Linked DNA regions of Tamandua tetradactyla. The protein of the gene in region 1 purifies or fractionates together with the protein of each later gene. This does not show direct contact. Links are inferred from orthologs where the notes say so. Each region holds a gene or a part of one and is shown on either strand. Other genes may lie near its edges.

Region 1 (7,451 bases):
CCCTTGCCCAGGCAGGACCCCCCCACCCCAGCACAGCGGCCCTTCCCCTCGCTCCCCGGACTTCCCCGCCCCACTCACAGCACTCCTGCTCTCCCTTTCCTCCCCATACCCCCCAGACCTGTGCTTGGCCGGGGCGAGTCAGGGCTCTCCTGTCAGCTGGGCCCCCTCCAGGCCTTGGGAGGCCGCCACTGGAGCCCTGCCTCTTCCTGGCAGGGAGCATCGAGTACAGCTGTCCGGCCTCCAATGAGTGCGAGATCACCAAGCGGAGACGCAAGGCCTGCCAGGCCTGCCGCTTCACCAAGTGCCTGCGCGTAGGCATGCTCAAGGAGGGTGAGCACGGGGCAGGGGGGGCCTGGGCCAGGCTTGGGGGGAGCTGGGCTTGCAGGGCCCTTGCTGGGCAAGGCTTAGGAAGGGCTGGTGGCCAAGGGACTAAGGAGGAGGGCTCTGCAGAGCCACCCTACAGACACGGTCCCATTTTACACTTTAGGGGTGCGTCTGGACCGTGTGCGGGGCGGACGACAGAAGTACAAGCGGCGACCAGAGGTGGACCCGCTGCCTTTCCCGGGTCCCTTCCCTGCTGGACCACTGGCAGTAGCTGGGGGTCCCCGGAAGACAGGTGAGAGCGCTGTGGGTACCTGGAGCTCTAGGGTTAGGATCGGGCTGGGGCATGAGAAGCCTGTCTGGCATCATCTACCCAGGAGAGTTATTACCTTGGGCCCTAGGACCCACATTTCGCCTTCATTCATTTATTCATTTCTCCAAGAAATATTTATTTAAAGGCCTTTCCTGCCTCAGGCACAGAGAAACATAGGAGGGAACTGGGAAGGGTTTTCTAATACTCATAGAGCCAGTCCCCAGCCTTTCCCTGGGAAGTAGTGAGAGCCTTGCCTTTGGGGGATGGATTTGAGCCAGGCTGCCCAACGGCTATCAGGGAAGGCCACTAGGAGAATGAACAAGAGGCTTGACTCTGAAGGGACTGTGATGTCTGATGAATTTGAGTGCCCCTGACCCTCGTCCTCCGACTTGTCACTGCAGCCCCAGTGAATGCACTGGTGTCTCACTTGCTGGTGGTTGAGCCCGAGAAGTTGTATGCCATGCCCGACCCAGTGGGTCCTGACGGACACCTCCCAGCTGTGGCTACCCTCTGTGACCTCTTCGATCGAGAGATTGTGGTCACCATCAGCTGGGCCAAGAGCATCCCAGGTAAAGAGCTCAGGTGGTCTGAGGGCTCCCCTGTGCAGGCCATGCTTGGCCCCAGGCACGCTTGCTCAGCCTGGCTGCCCACCCCCACCCTCCAGGCTTTTCGTCTCTGTCGCTGTCCGACCAGATGTCAGTACTGCAGAGCGTGTGGATGGAGGTGCTGGTGCTGGGCGTGGCCCAGCGCTCGCTGCCGCTGCAGGATGAGCTGGCCTTCGCGGAGGACTTGGTCCTGGATGAAGAGGGAGCACGGGCAGCTGGCCTGGGGGAGCTGGGGGCTGCCCTCCTGCAACTGGTGCGGCGGCTACAGGCCCTGAGGCTCGAGCGGGAGGAATACGTTCTGCTGAAGGCCCTGGCCCTGGCCAACTCGGGTGAGAGTCTGGAGCAGGCACTGATAGGTCTCTCCATTGGGCCCTCTGGTCTTTAACTCTGATAGCACAGCCCGTTCTGCAGATAAAGGAAACTGCAGCTCAGGGAACAGTGACTTCCTGAAGGTCACGAAGTAAGCCAAGGGCAAGGCCAAGAATCTGAGCCTTAGTACTGTGCTCACTTGGAAGGGAGTACAGTTTAGTGGGAGGTGAAGTGGGGAGGACTGGAGGCAGCTATAGGTGAGGACAGATGGCCCCTGCTCTTTCTGGAGATGGTGCAAGTCAACAGTTCTCTCCCCTCTGCTTACAGACTCTGTGCACATCGAGGACGCTGAGGCTGTGGAGCAGCTGCGAGAAGCCCTGCATGAGGCCCTGCTGGAGTATGAAGCTGGCCGGGCAGGCCCTGGAGGGGGTGCTGAGCGGCGACGGGCAGGCAGACTGCTGCTCACCCTACCGCTCCTTCGCCAGACCGCGGGCAAAGTGCTGGCCCATTTCTATGGGGTGAAGCTGGAGGGCAAGGTGCCCATGCACAAGCTGTTCTTGGAGATGCTCGAGGCCATGATGGACTGAGGCAGGGGGAGGGTGTGGGTGGGTGGGGGTGCTGGCAGGACCCGCCCAGCATGGGTTCAACCCCAAGGGGGCAGAGCTGGGGTCTGGGCAGTGCCACAGCCTGCTGGCAGGGCCAGGGCAATGCCATCAGCCCCTGGGAGCAGGCCCCACGCCCTCCCCTCCCCACTCCCAGGGGGCGTCAGAAGCTGGGGATGTGTGTGCCCGGGCTCTGGGCACAGTGCTGCCCCTTGCAAGCCATAATGTGCCCCCAGACTGTCGGGGGCCTTGCGGAAGCCATAGGGGGTGCAGGGGAATTGTGGGGGGCAGAAGCCTGATCTCAGGGAGGGAAGGGGGTGGAGGCCACAGTCTCCCAGTGGGTGATGCTTTTGCTGCTACTTAATCCAACCCCCTCTACAGAGCAGAGTGGGACTTGGAGAGCAAAGGCCCCTGCCCCCTTCGCTCCTCTCCTCATCATTTGCGTTGGGCACTGTTGCCCACCCCCCTTGAAGCAATAACTCCAAGCAGGCTCCAGCCCCTGGACCCCCTAGGGTGGCCAGGGTCCCCCATCAGCTCCCACCCAGCCTCCTCAGGGGGAGGGAGAGCACTGCCTCGATGCCCTGCAGAGCAATAACACTATATTTATTTTTGGGTTTGGCCAGGGAGGCGCAGGGACATGGGGCAAGCCAGGGCCCAGTGCCCTTGGCTGTACAGAGACTCTATTTTAATGTATATTTGCTGCAAAGAGAAACCGCTTTTGGTTTTGAACCTTTAATGAGAAAAAATATATATAATATCAAGCTCAAGAACACAGTGTGTTCAGTGTGTCATTGGGTCGAGGGCTGGACATGAACATGACAGTTAACAATGTACAGACATAAAGAATGTCACAGAATGATCAGCTGGTCCGTGCCTGGCATGGCTAGGTCTAGGTTTCCTCCTCACTCAGCAGCATGTTGGGGATCCCGCGACTGATGGGGAACAGACGTCCAGATTCTGGGCATTGCAGAGTGCCCTCCAACACATCCACCTGTGGGCAGAGGGAAAACAGCTGAACACCTGGGCCCTAAGGGAGGGGTGGCATGGCCGGGAAAGCAAAGTGTGAGCCGGTTCTCACCTCTAGCAACACGTGGTGCATCTTCCTCAAAAATGTCTCATCTCGCTCATACCCCTCAACTGGTCCCTTGGGCACCTCGACCAGATGCAACTGTGGGCAAGAAGCCTAAATCATCTCCGGCCATCCCCGACCCTCCCCATCAGGCCGAGCTCCCGGGCCGGGTGTGAGAGGGTGCGGTGAGACCACCTCCCCCGCTAGGCACAGGCGGGGTGGGGGGAGGGTCCTCACAGTATCGGCCGCCTCCAGAAGCGCTGCCCACTCCACCTTGGGTATCATACGCGCTACGAAGTCCGGGTTGAACTCCACCGGGTTGATGCGGACCTCGGTGGCCTGCAGTGGGAAGAGATTAGTTAGAAAGGGGATCGGACTCTGATATCCGCAGCTCACCCGGGAGAGGGGCGTGGGTCTGCGCGGATCGGTACCTGGAGACGCAGGGGGAAGCCACGGGGCCCCACCCCCCGCACGTGAGAGCTTAGCAGGTTGTGAGTGAGCAGCTTCATGTCGCGGCTAAACGTCCTACCCAGGCAGGAACCGGAAATATACCGCCCCGCCAAAACGTCACTTCCGGGACGGTGCCGCTAGCTAGCCTATCGGGCGGCCAAAAGACCGGAAGCAGCGAAACTGCTGTCAGGGCTCGTGCTCGGCCAAGCAGAGACATAGGGAAGACCTGGTTCAGTCACGCGCTGCTCCCGGAAGCGGCTCCGCGGGAGATCGTTATGTCGCACGCCGCCTAGTGGTTTGGTTGAAGCCAAACCTTCACCCGCTATCGGGATGCAAATTATATGTAAAACAGCTGCAGTGCAGGGAACCTCGTTAAATGTCAGATAGACATGCGTTTTGCTTGTGCACGGGCTCCTGACACCAGCCCTCCCCTTCTAATGAGGTGCGCTATTGCCCCAACTATAAATGAGGCCCCTCAAAATAAAGCGGCACCCCATCCTTGTCTGCAAAGAACCTGCAGGATCGTCGCGAGCTACGCCCACTGAGAGGGGGAGAAGGTATCAGCGACCCAGCCCCTAATGCAAACAAGCCCTGAATCCCGGAAGCCCGGCCCGCAGCGCGGCCGTCCACGCCTGCGCAGTGAGGGCGTTTCGCTGGGGGCCGGGCGCGGCCGAGGCTCCGCCTTCTGCGGCCGGCGCGGCTCCGCCCCCGCCGGGGTCGAAGGGGCGGTCGCGGCCGTGGCGCCCGGCGAGTGGCTGCGTATGCTGCGCCTTGTGGGGCGCCGCGCGAACTCCGCGCTCCCTCGGGCGACCGCCGTCGAGTTTACCCGAGCGGTAGCGGTGGGAACGGGCCTACGCCTGGAAGGAGGAGGAGGGTGCACGTGCGGTTTCAGCAGCGCCGCCGCAGCCATGGCGCCGATTAAGGTGACCGTCGGCCCCGTCAGACCTGACCCCCCCATCTTCCCGAGGCCGTCCCTCGTCCCGCTCCGGTGGGGAAGGTGGGGTCCTCTCTCCCGCCCTCCGGAGCCCTCTCCGCCGCCCCAGAGGTCCCTCCCGCGGTCCAGCCCCTTCACCCCCTCATCGAGACACCCGTGACTGCCACCCCCTCTCGCCAAGTTTTGGGACCTCGTGCAGGATCTCCTGGAACAGCCTCCGGGCTCTGGACCCTCCCCCCTCGATTCCCGCTGCGTGTCGACTGCGACACTGCTGTGGTCTCCGCCATTTTCCGCTGTTTGAATGCCGTGGCCTTTCCCACCTTCTGGAAACCAACCATCTCCGTTGCCCCAGAACCCTCTTTACCCCGCCGCGCCACCCTCCCCTCCCTTTTGTCATATTGCTTGGATCACTCTTAATCGTATGGAACAGCTGTCAGCCCTTTGAGCCCTCGTTTTGTCTCCCCATGCCACTCCGATTTCCCCTCCTCCTCCTCCCGAGGCGATCCCCCACACTTCAGTTGAGTCTCTCCTCCCGCCCATCTTCTGGAGCTGTCCCCCACTCCTTGGAACTCAACCCCCTCTTCCCCTCCCACACCCTTCCGAGGCCCTTCGCCTTGTTTCACCATCCTCCAACCTACTGAGAGATCCTCCATCTCTCAGCCTCCCTTCCTCCTATCTTTACCTCCTCCATCCCCATGGAGCCCTCTCACATTCCCAGATGCACTGATCCCTCCCCCTTAAGAGATTCCTTTCATTTTACCCCCCTTGCATAGGGCCGGGATCTTCCCCTTCCCACCTTGTTACTGCCCTCCTGCCTTCCTTCCTTTTCTCCATGGCTGGCCAGGATCCATGCTTTCCCTGTTGTCCAGTATTCCTTCCAACCCAACAACCCCCTTCCCCCCTGCTTCTCCTCCCCTTGCGGGTTTGGCCCCACTCTTCTCCCATAACCCTTACAACTTGTTGACTCAATCCCTTGCGACACCGTGCAAGGCCTTCTCTCCCTTTCTTTGGTGTCACCAATGGATCCTTATGAGGGGACAGGGCCTCACTGACCCCTGGAGGATATGGGGCAACCAGGCGGGTGAGAGTCGGGGGGAAGGGGAGGGCAGCAGGGAGGGACCTCTGGAAACTCTGACAGGGCTGGACTTTTTTTCCCCCCGGGCTCTGCCAAGCACAGCCACCAGACCTCCCCCCATTCCCTCCTGGCTCTGGTTTGCTGCTGTCCCTCCTTGGGCCTCCCCCCACCTCTCAACTCCTAACCTTGGAGCCCTTCCCTCTAGGTGGGCGATGCCATCCCACCGGTGGAGGTGTTTGAAGGGGAGCCTGGGAACAAGGTGAACCTGGCGGAGCTGTACAGAGGCAAGAAGGGAGTGCTGTTTGGAGTCCCCGGGGCATTTACCCCGGGCTGCTCCAAGGTGAGGCCCTGCCCTTCTTGAGATTAGGAATCTGGATCTTTTGAAAATGTTTGCATTGCTTTTAAGTCCTTCACATATCCCTCCAAAGGCCTGAGGCGGCTTGCCACCAAGGAACCTAGGTAGCCTGAGAGTAAAAAAAAGCTATGTTTAGAGTGTTCAGAAAGTAAGTGGAGGCTGCAGAAAGGTAACCACAAGGAATGTAGGAGAAAGGAATTATTGTGATTAAGCTCAATACCCCCTTGTTGACCCTGCTGAGTGGCAGGTACTCTGAAAGGCAAATAATCCAGGTAAATAATCCATGTTTCTATGACTCCCAGGGGTGTGGACCTTCCTGGCAACGTGACACAGAAATCCCAGAATGAGCTGGAACTCAGCATCAAGGGACTGAGAAAATCTTCTCAACCAAAAGGGGGAAGAGTGAAATGAGACAAAATAAAGTGTCAATGGCTGAGAGATTCCAAACAGAGTTGAGAGGTTATCCTGGAGGTTATTCTTGCATTAAGTAGATATCACCTTGTTATCCAAGATGTAACAGAGAGGCTGGAGGAACCTGCCTGAAAATGTAGAGCTGTGTTCCAGTAGCCATGTTTCTTGAGGATGATTGTATAATGATATAGCTTTCGCAATGTGACTGTGTGATTGTGAAAACCTTTATCTGATGCTCCGTTTATCTAACTTATCAACAGAAGAGTAAAAAACATGTGGAATAAAGATAAGTAATAGGGGGAACAAATGTTAAAATAAATTTAGATTGAAATGCTAGTGATCAGTGAAAGGGAGGGGTAAGGGGTATGGTATGTATGATTTTTTTTCTGTTGCCTTTTTATTTCTTTTTCTGAATTAATGCAGATGTTCTAAGAAATGATCATGATGATGAATATGCAACTATGTGATGATATTGTGAATTACTGATTATATATGTAGAATGGAATAATCATAAATTAAGAACGTTTGCATTTGTTTGTTGTTACATATATTTTTTTAAATTAAAAAATTGAAAAAAAAATCCGTGGTCCTGACCCCACAACCTTAAGTTTGGATCTGAGCTTCCTTGTGGCCAAGGCAAACAAGGAAATAGGTTGGTTTACATAGTTTTCGTTGATTAAAGGAGTCAAAGCAGGGAAGTTAGGGGGGCCTGAAGATCATTCCTTGTTGACCCTTAGTTTCTCCTCCCCAGACGCACCTGCCGGGGTTTGTGGAGCAGGCTGGGGCTATGAAGGCCAAGGGCATCCAAGTGGTGGCATGTCTGAGTGTCAATGATGTCTTTGTGACTGGCGAGTGGGGGCGAGCCCACAACGTGGATGGCAAGGTAAGGTGCAGGGGTCCTGAAGGGGCTCAGGGCCCAAGCAGGAGATTTTTCTGGTGACCTTTATTTTCTGTCTCCCCAGGTTCGTCTCCTGGCTGACCCTTCTGGGGCCTTTGGGAAGGTGAGT
Region 2 (7,059 bases), on another chromosome or scaffold:
CAAACAGCCCCTTCACCTCAGGGCACTCAATGCAAGGAATCTGTTTTCCTCTGGTCACTCAATCCTCACCTTTCCCACTTAAATTGTGAGTTTTCCAAATTTAATTTCCACTATTATTAGGAAATGTTGAAATTTACATATTACAGAGATGACTGCGTCTGCTGGGTGGGGCTCAGACCAAAGGGAAGTAACACTGGTGGTAGAGGGGCCATGGAGGAGGCCAGGACAGGCATCCCAGCAAGGGGGAAGTCCTGAGCGAGGACAGAGGCTGAGGACAAGTAGGCAGAGATGAGATTTGTTCTGGACACTGAGCATTTAGGATTGGAGGGTAGGTTAGATGGGAGAGTGAGGGGCTGGGGGCTCCAAGGTAGTTCTCAGTGAAGCCTGCAGTTTGGAGCAGGGACAGGAGAGGATGTCAACAGCAAACATTCAGACATTCATGAGGCACTTGTAATGCATCTAATGCTCAATCTGCGTTTTTTACCCCCATTTTATCCTGAGGTGGGAGCAATCCAGGTATCAGAGTAGTTCTGATTGATACCTGTCAGCAGATTCACCTGGGAGACTTTCACACCCTGGTCCAAGGCGTACTGCACCAGCCCGGCGGCTGCATCGTGGGACAGGGAGTTCAGGTTGTACTTGACCCTGAGGTAGGGGACACAGCCTGGTTAACCCCTTTCCAGCCAAAGGGCCCAGTGAGCAAGTGCTCTCTGCCTCCCTCAGGGCGTTGGCTGCCCCTCCATCCCGCCCCTCCCAGGGGACCCCTCACCGCCCGAGCATGCTGGTAGAGATGAGGTTTGGAGACAGTACATCCAGTGCCCAGCCCACAAAGTCCCCGTCCTCCTCTATTTTCGCAAACAGCCTGTCCCGCTCGCTCTCCGACAGGGTCTTTGAGTCTGGGAGGAGGATTGGGAGAGAAGGAGGGCGCTGGTTCTCCAGGTTCCTGCCCTCTTCCTCCTCCTCCTCCACCAGTTTCCACACGCCCCGGAACCGCCCGATCCCCGCCCCCCACCACCCCAGACTCACCTGCCACTTTCAGGGCCTCCAGATCTGCCAGACGGGACACGGGGCAATAACAGATGGCGTAGACCATGGGGCCTGGAGAGGAAGGGGGTCAGATTTCTGGGCGAATCCAAGCAGTGAGCTCCTCAAAGCGCTCATCCCTGTTCCATCACCGCTCTTTTCGCCCACCGGTTCATGTCACGGCCGCCATCATCATCGCCATCACCGGCCCTCCTGGGTCATGGGCGAAGCGCACCCCATTATCGCGCCCCTCCCCCACCCCCGGGCCCCGGGGGCGCACCCAGCACGGGGCCCCGGCCTGCTTCATCGACGCCCAGGGCGCAGGGCTCCTTGCGGCACACTGCGGGCACCGGCGAGCTCACGCGACAGCGGCCCGTATTGTCTCTCTCCAGCTCACTGAGATCCATACCGCCGCCGCCTGGGCCACAGCCTCCAGCGGCGGGAAGAGGGCGTGTCCGCGCAGCTCTCGGCGCTCTTCTGGCGCGCTCGCTCCCGACCAATCAGCGCGCAGGACACGCCCCCGACGCCGTCCAGCAGACGCCGTCGCCGCCACGTGGCTTCCTGGGAATTGTAGTTTCTGAGGCCGACCGCGGAACACTCAGGTTGAGACGCGGGATGGGCGGGGCCACTTTCCAAGCCCCGCCCCGGGGACTCCGAAGCCCGGACGGCGGGGTCTGGTGCCAGGAGAAGGAAACTGAGGCGGGGACATGAAAAGACCCGGCCCTTTCGGAGCCTACAAGACCAGATACCACTAGCTTCCAGAACAAAGGGTCACTCCACATTCACTGTGTTCCTGTCTCCTACCTGGACTCCGGGTCCCTGACGCCCCGCCCTCGGCCCAGCCCAAGCCCCCTGGACTAGGTATCGCTGCCCCTTCCTGGGCTCAGGCCTTCGAATTGTGGCCCTTACCCTTCCTCTCTCAGTCGCTCACTCGGATCCACCCTCCTCCCCCACAGTCCCTGCCCCCCTACCCTCTCGTTTGGGCTAAGCCTCCCGGACCCCCAAATTAGGATCCCAGACCCCAATTACCAATCCTGGCTCAAGGTCGACGCCCGCCTGCTGCAGGCTGATAACCCCAAATCGGGTTTCTCCTTCACCCCCCGCGTCTCAGCGGGGCTCAGAGCCTTGGACCCTAGGCCACCGCCCCTGAACCTCAGGGTCCTGGTTCCCCCGTCCTCGCCCCCATTGACTGTCTTCCCTTCTCCCCAGGTGTCAGTGGGGTGCACGCCTTCTGTCTGTGGATCCCCAATCCTCACCCCTGAACCTAATGCCCCTGGACTTGACAGTCCCCTCCTGGCCTGTCCTCTCCACGCCCTTCTCTCACCCGGCCTCAGGGCCTCCAATGGCACTGGTCCTGCTGGCAAGATGGACAGTCCCGTTGCCGGCAAGGCCGCACCTGCACCAGGTTCTCTCGGTCCATGAACACTGGGCCTGGCGCCGTGCCCACCACCTCCCGGCTGCGCTCCTGCTTCCCCAGGTCGCAGACACAGCGCCACTTTCCCCACGGGCTCAGGATCGAGTCTTCCAGGTCTGGGGGAAAGGGCCGAGAAAAAGACCCAGGTTTGTGTTTGGGGGTGGGGCGGGGGGGGGGAGGACCTACCTGCCTCTACCCTCCTCTGGGGCGGAGGCAAAAAAGATACTAACAAATAACCCCAGCTCATATCTGTTCCTGGGGCTCTGCCTCTGACCAGTTCCTCTCAATCTTCCCAGCAATCCTGATGGAGAGGGATGGCCACTAGTCCCAGGTGGGGAAACTGAGACCTAGAGAGGGCAAGTCACCCTTCTGAGCTCACCCATCTGCTGAGCGGCCCAGGGGGACTGCAAACTGACACTTCCGACCTGTGCCAGCTTGCCCCGTTGGGAGTGTGGTAGAAGACCCTCAGTGCTGGCTATTGGGACACCTGTCCAGCAGGCACCATGCCACCAGACCAGCAGGGCTGTCAGATGGTAAATTAAATGACATAATCAAATGACAGAATGAGGATACTTAAAGCCTCTGGCGCTGTTCTAGCACACAGAACAAAAACAATTATGATTCTTTTAAAGCAGCTGCCACTTCTTATGGACTTACCAGATAGAAACCTGTCACCAGTCTTAAACCCACGGCCTGCTCACAGGGCCTTGACACCTCATTTGTTCCCTACCATCTCTTCTTCTCTAGGTCTCTGCCACCCTAGCCCTTTTCCTTTCCCTGCCCTCTTTTGGGCCTTTTGGCTTTTGCATTTTTGGGTCCCTCTCCCTGGCATACCATTCTTTCCCCACTCACCCTCCCAAGGCATCTTTGCATCTTTGGCCTTGGCTTCATAATGGATTTCTATCTCCTCCACCGGGACCTCTTCTGACTTTTCAAGCTGATCTCCAGCTTCTTTCTCCATCCCCGCCCTCCTAGCTCTTTTACCCACAACAAATTCACGTGCATCTGCTTTTATTGCCGGCCCACGCCCCCTCTCCAGCTATGAGCCGCTTAAAAGGCAATCTCCTTTCCAATTGACAGATGGAAAAACAGCCTCAGAGAGAAGTAACCAGCCCAATCAGACGCAACCAGTGTGGTGAGCCCAGCCGGGATCTGCCGTCCCGGGGAAAGCAGGGGTGAGGGGGGCACCTCTAGGCGCCCTCACCCCGGCCGCCCTGCGGTTACCTTTTTCCTGCTGCTGCTGCCGCAGCTGCTCCCAGATGTCGCCTTCGCCTTGCTCGCCAAAGTACTGGTAGTCCGGGGAGCCCTCGGAGGGGGTTGCCAGCAGCTGGAGCGCCAGGGGCAGCAGTAGCAGCAGCAGCGCCGCCCGCCTTCGGGCCATGCCGAGCTCCAACCGCCCGCGGCGCGCTCGGGGCTGGAGCCCCGCGCCGTGCCCGCGCTACCCCCGCGGATCCGCACAGTGGTCGGGCCCGGAGGCTGCATGTCTCCCCTCCACCACCACCACCACCCCCTGCCGCTCGCGGGCATATGGACCCGGCCACCCGCTCGCTCTCCACCCCCCACCGAAACCGGCGCAGTGGACGCGGCGGCTCAGCTCATCTTCACCCCCCCCGCGCGCGTCATGGTTCCGGCCGGGCATAAAAGGCCTGGCAGCCCTGCGCGCACTTGGGGCTGAGAAATCCGAGGCCGCGCTTCTGCTGCGTCCGTGCGTCCCGCCCGTGTCCACGCAGGTACCGCCACCCCGGGTGCACCGGGCTCGGGAAGGAGCCCCTTCCCAGCCGCCCCCGCCGGAATCCGGACCGATCGCTGGCCGCCCTTTGTTTTCCGCCCTCTGCAGCGGCCGCCTTTGTCCTTGCAGGGGAAACCGAGGCCGGGCGGCCGGAGTCCCCGCCCCCTGCTCGCGGGGGCCCTTGCCGTCTCCTCCCGGCACTGGGTGGGGACCCCGCAGCCACCGCGCTCCCTCCGACGCGCGAACTGGGGACCCGGCGGTAGCGGCCAGGCCGCACGTGCCGCGGTCAAGGGGGCCGGGTCCCCAGCAGCCTCGGGGCCGCGCAATACCCGGTACCGGGGAGGGAGGGGGTCACCGCTGCCGGCTGCGCCGCTCTCGCTCGGTCTCCGCGGTCCGCACGCAGTGTGACCTTGGGAAAGGAGGACAAAGGGGCCTCCGGGGCGCGCTGACCCGGCTGGGGGTGGGGCGTGGGGGTCTCAGCTTTCAGCCATGGCCTCCGGCCACGCGCACATCGGGAAGCCCGCCCCGGATTTCCACGCCACGGCCGTGGTGGACGGCGCCTTCCAGGAGGTGAAGCTTTCGGACTACAGAGGTGAGGGACCCCAGGTGCGGGTGGGGCCCGGGCAGAAGGAGGCCTGGGCCTTAACGCGCGACCTCTCCACTCCCACCCCCAACCCAGGGAAGTACGTGGTCCTTTTCTTCTACCCCTTGGACTTCACCTTCGTTTGTCCCACCGAAATCATCGCTTTCAGCGAGCGTGCCGGGGACTTCCGCAAGCTGGGCTGCGAGGTGCTAGGAGCCTCTGTCGATTCCCAGTTCACCCACCTAGCTTGGTAGGAGCCGGGACTGGGGGGAGGGGGAGGGTGGGGCGCAACTAGGTTCCCATCCTAGCGTCGTCCGTGCTGGCCTCGCCGTTGCTCAACCTCTTACCCTCCCTTTCACCACCTTGAGAATCACGGAAATTATTTCCATGGAAAACACCCTGGTCATTAAGGATTGCTGACAGCAATGAGCATGTGGAAACGAGCTGCTTGGCTTGGGAGTTGCACATGCTTTTTTTCCCTATAGTCCCTGGGAGGAAGGCGGGATTGCCTTAGTACTTGAAGGTGGAAAGTCCAGTTCCAGGAAGGGAAGGAGGATGGAGATGTGATGGCAGGATCCCTGCCTCAGGCTGGAGGCCATGAGGATGCCTAAAGAGGATTTGCTGGAGCATAAGCCTGCACATGAGTGCAGGGGCTTTAGTCTTCCCAGCTGTGGGAAACAGCTCCTGCACCCAGTTCAGGGTGGGGTGGGTGGTACTCCCAGGGCCCCAATATCTCCTGCCTCCAGCATCCCACTCCAGCCCTTATCACCCAGGCGCAAAGGGTAAGGATCTCACTGTGTGGGACCTCCTGAGGCCCCAGCCCTGTCTCCCCCACCCCCAGGATCAACACCCCGCGGAAAGAGGGAGGCTTGGGCCCGCTGAACATCCCCCTGCTGGCTGACGTGACCAGAAGCCTGTCCCATGATTATGGGGTGTTGAAGGAAGATGAGGGCATTGCTTACAGGTACTGAGGGACCCTCCCCCACCCTCAGGGAGCCCCCTTCCCATTTCCCCTCTATCCCCAGCTCTGTGGCTGGAGGTGGTCCATGCTCCCTCCAGCTCCTGGCCACAGGGAGTGTCCCAGCTCCTCACTACTGAACCCTGATGTCTTCAGGGGCCTGTTTATCATCGATGGCAAGGGAATCCTTCGTCAGATCACAGTGAATGACTTGCCCGTGGGACGCTCCGTGGAAGAGGCCCTACGCCTAGTCCAGGCCTTCCAGTACACGGATGAGCATGGCGAAGGTGAGTGGACACACAGAGAGCCTCTCAGTGGCTCTTGCAAACAATCACTGCCTGCCCTATCACCTGAGCAGGGGTAGGGGCATGTTAGGGCCCCCAAAGAAGGTTCAGCTCAAGGAGTTTCTAGTCTGGTGGAGGAGATGCCTCCTTGTAAGGGTGCGCAGCTGGGAGGTCATAGGGAACCATAGAAGGTATTCGAGGTTGCATATAGCACATTAGGCTTGGGGTATGTTAGTTGGATCCTGGTTAAAGAGTCTGAATGTAGATGCTCAAGTCCAGTAGCACTGGGGCTGAGGGTGAGACATGGGGTTGAAAACACCAAAAAGCAAGTGAGAATAAGAGAAGGAAAATGATGAGGCAGAAGATACTGCAGCTGGGCCTGTGAGGATAAACAGGTGCTTGGAGGGTGATGGGATGGGGCTTCTCTTTTTGAGCCTGGACCAATTGGTTCTTAGGTTTTTCTACTGCAACTCAGGCCCTTGCTTTGTATCTGTTCCTCCCTCCCCCCTGCCTCTACCTGGAAAATGGGGCTGTAGGCTCACACATCAGTTCTCATGTCTTCCACAGTCTGTCCCGCGGGCTGGAAGCCGGGCAGCGACACAATCAAGCCCAACGTGGATGACAGCAAGGAATACTTCGCCAAGCACAACTAGGCCAGCAGGCGGGTGAAGCTTGGGCCCTCTGCCCTCAGCCACGCCGCTGCCTGGGTGCCCAGTGCTGACCCTAGGAAAGACCCCTGTAGCTTCCCGGTTTGGGGCCCCAAGGTTCTTCTGATGCCCCCACCTGGGACCTGAGAAATCCCCTCTGCCCAGATCCCACTCAGCTGGGCACAGGCTTGGGGGGAACCAATAAAGTGTTAGGGACAGATGTGAGTGTGTCTGGGTGTGTTAGTCTGTCTTCCCCTCCCCCTGCCCCACCCCCACCAAGTGGTGTCTCAGGCCTCCTGTCTGGGAAACTGATCCTGTAGTTATTTACCGCCACCACAAGGTGGCAGCCTTACTTCATGCTCCCTCTACTTGTTCTTCCTTGGCAGGAGGGGGGACTGGGGGAACTGGGGTGTTTGCCCCT

Evidence for each region.
Region 2: the proteins of PRDX5 (region 1) and PRDX2 fractionate together in Homo sapiens (co-fractionation; 3 studies listed by BioGRID). This does not show direct contact. The link is inferred for Tamandua tetradactyla from reciprocal best matches to the Homo sapiens genes PRDX5 and PRDX2.

The regions. Positions count from the first base shown.
Region 1 is NC_135335.1:10,339,074-10,346,524, reverse strand, and holds the start of PRDX5 (peroxiredoxin-5, mitochondrial), read left to right. Parts: upstream 1-4,372; 5' UTR 4,373-4,430; coding exon 4,431-4,592; intron 4,593-5,883; coding exon 5,884-6,018; intron 6,019-7,195; coding exon 7,196-7,327; intron 7,328-7,406; coding exon 7,407-7,445; intron 7,446-7,451. Other genes in the region: ESRRA (steroid hormone receptor ERR1), read left to right, coding at 214-330, 488-616, 1,036-1,203, 1,299-1,568, 1,876-2,135; TRMT112 (multifunctional methyltransferase subunit TRM112-like protein), read right to left, coding at 3,040-3,141, 3,229-3,318, 3,457-3,558, 3,651-3,728. UniProt on the Homo sapiens protein: Thiol-specific peroxidase that catalyzes the reduction of hydrogen peroxide and organic hydroperoxides to water and alcohols, respectively.
Region 2 is NC_135337.1:89,828,732-89,835,790, forward strand, and holds PRDX2 (peroxiredoxin-2), read left to right. Parts: upstream 1-4,035; 5' UTR 4,036-4,167; intron 4,168-4,646; 5' UTR 4,647-4,655; coding exon 4,656-4,758; intron 4,759-4,845; coding exon 4,846-4,999; intron 5,000-5,590; coding exon 5,591-5,713; intron 5,714-5,863; coding exon 5,864-5,994; intron 5,995-6,558; coding exon 6,559-6,644; 3' UTR 6,645-6,858; downstream 6,859-7,059. Other genes in the region: ribonuclease H2 subunit A, read right to left, coding at 558-645, 770-896, 1,027-1,098, 1,304-1,430.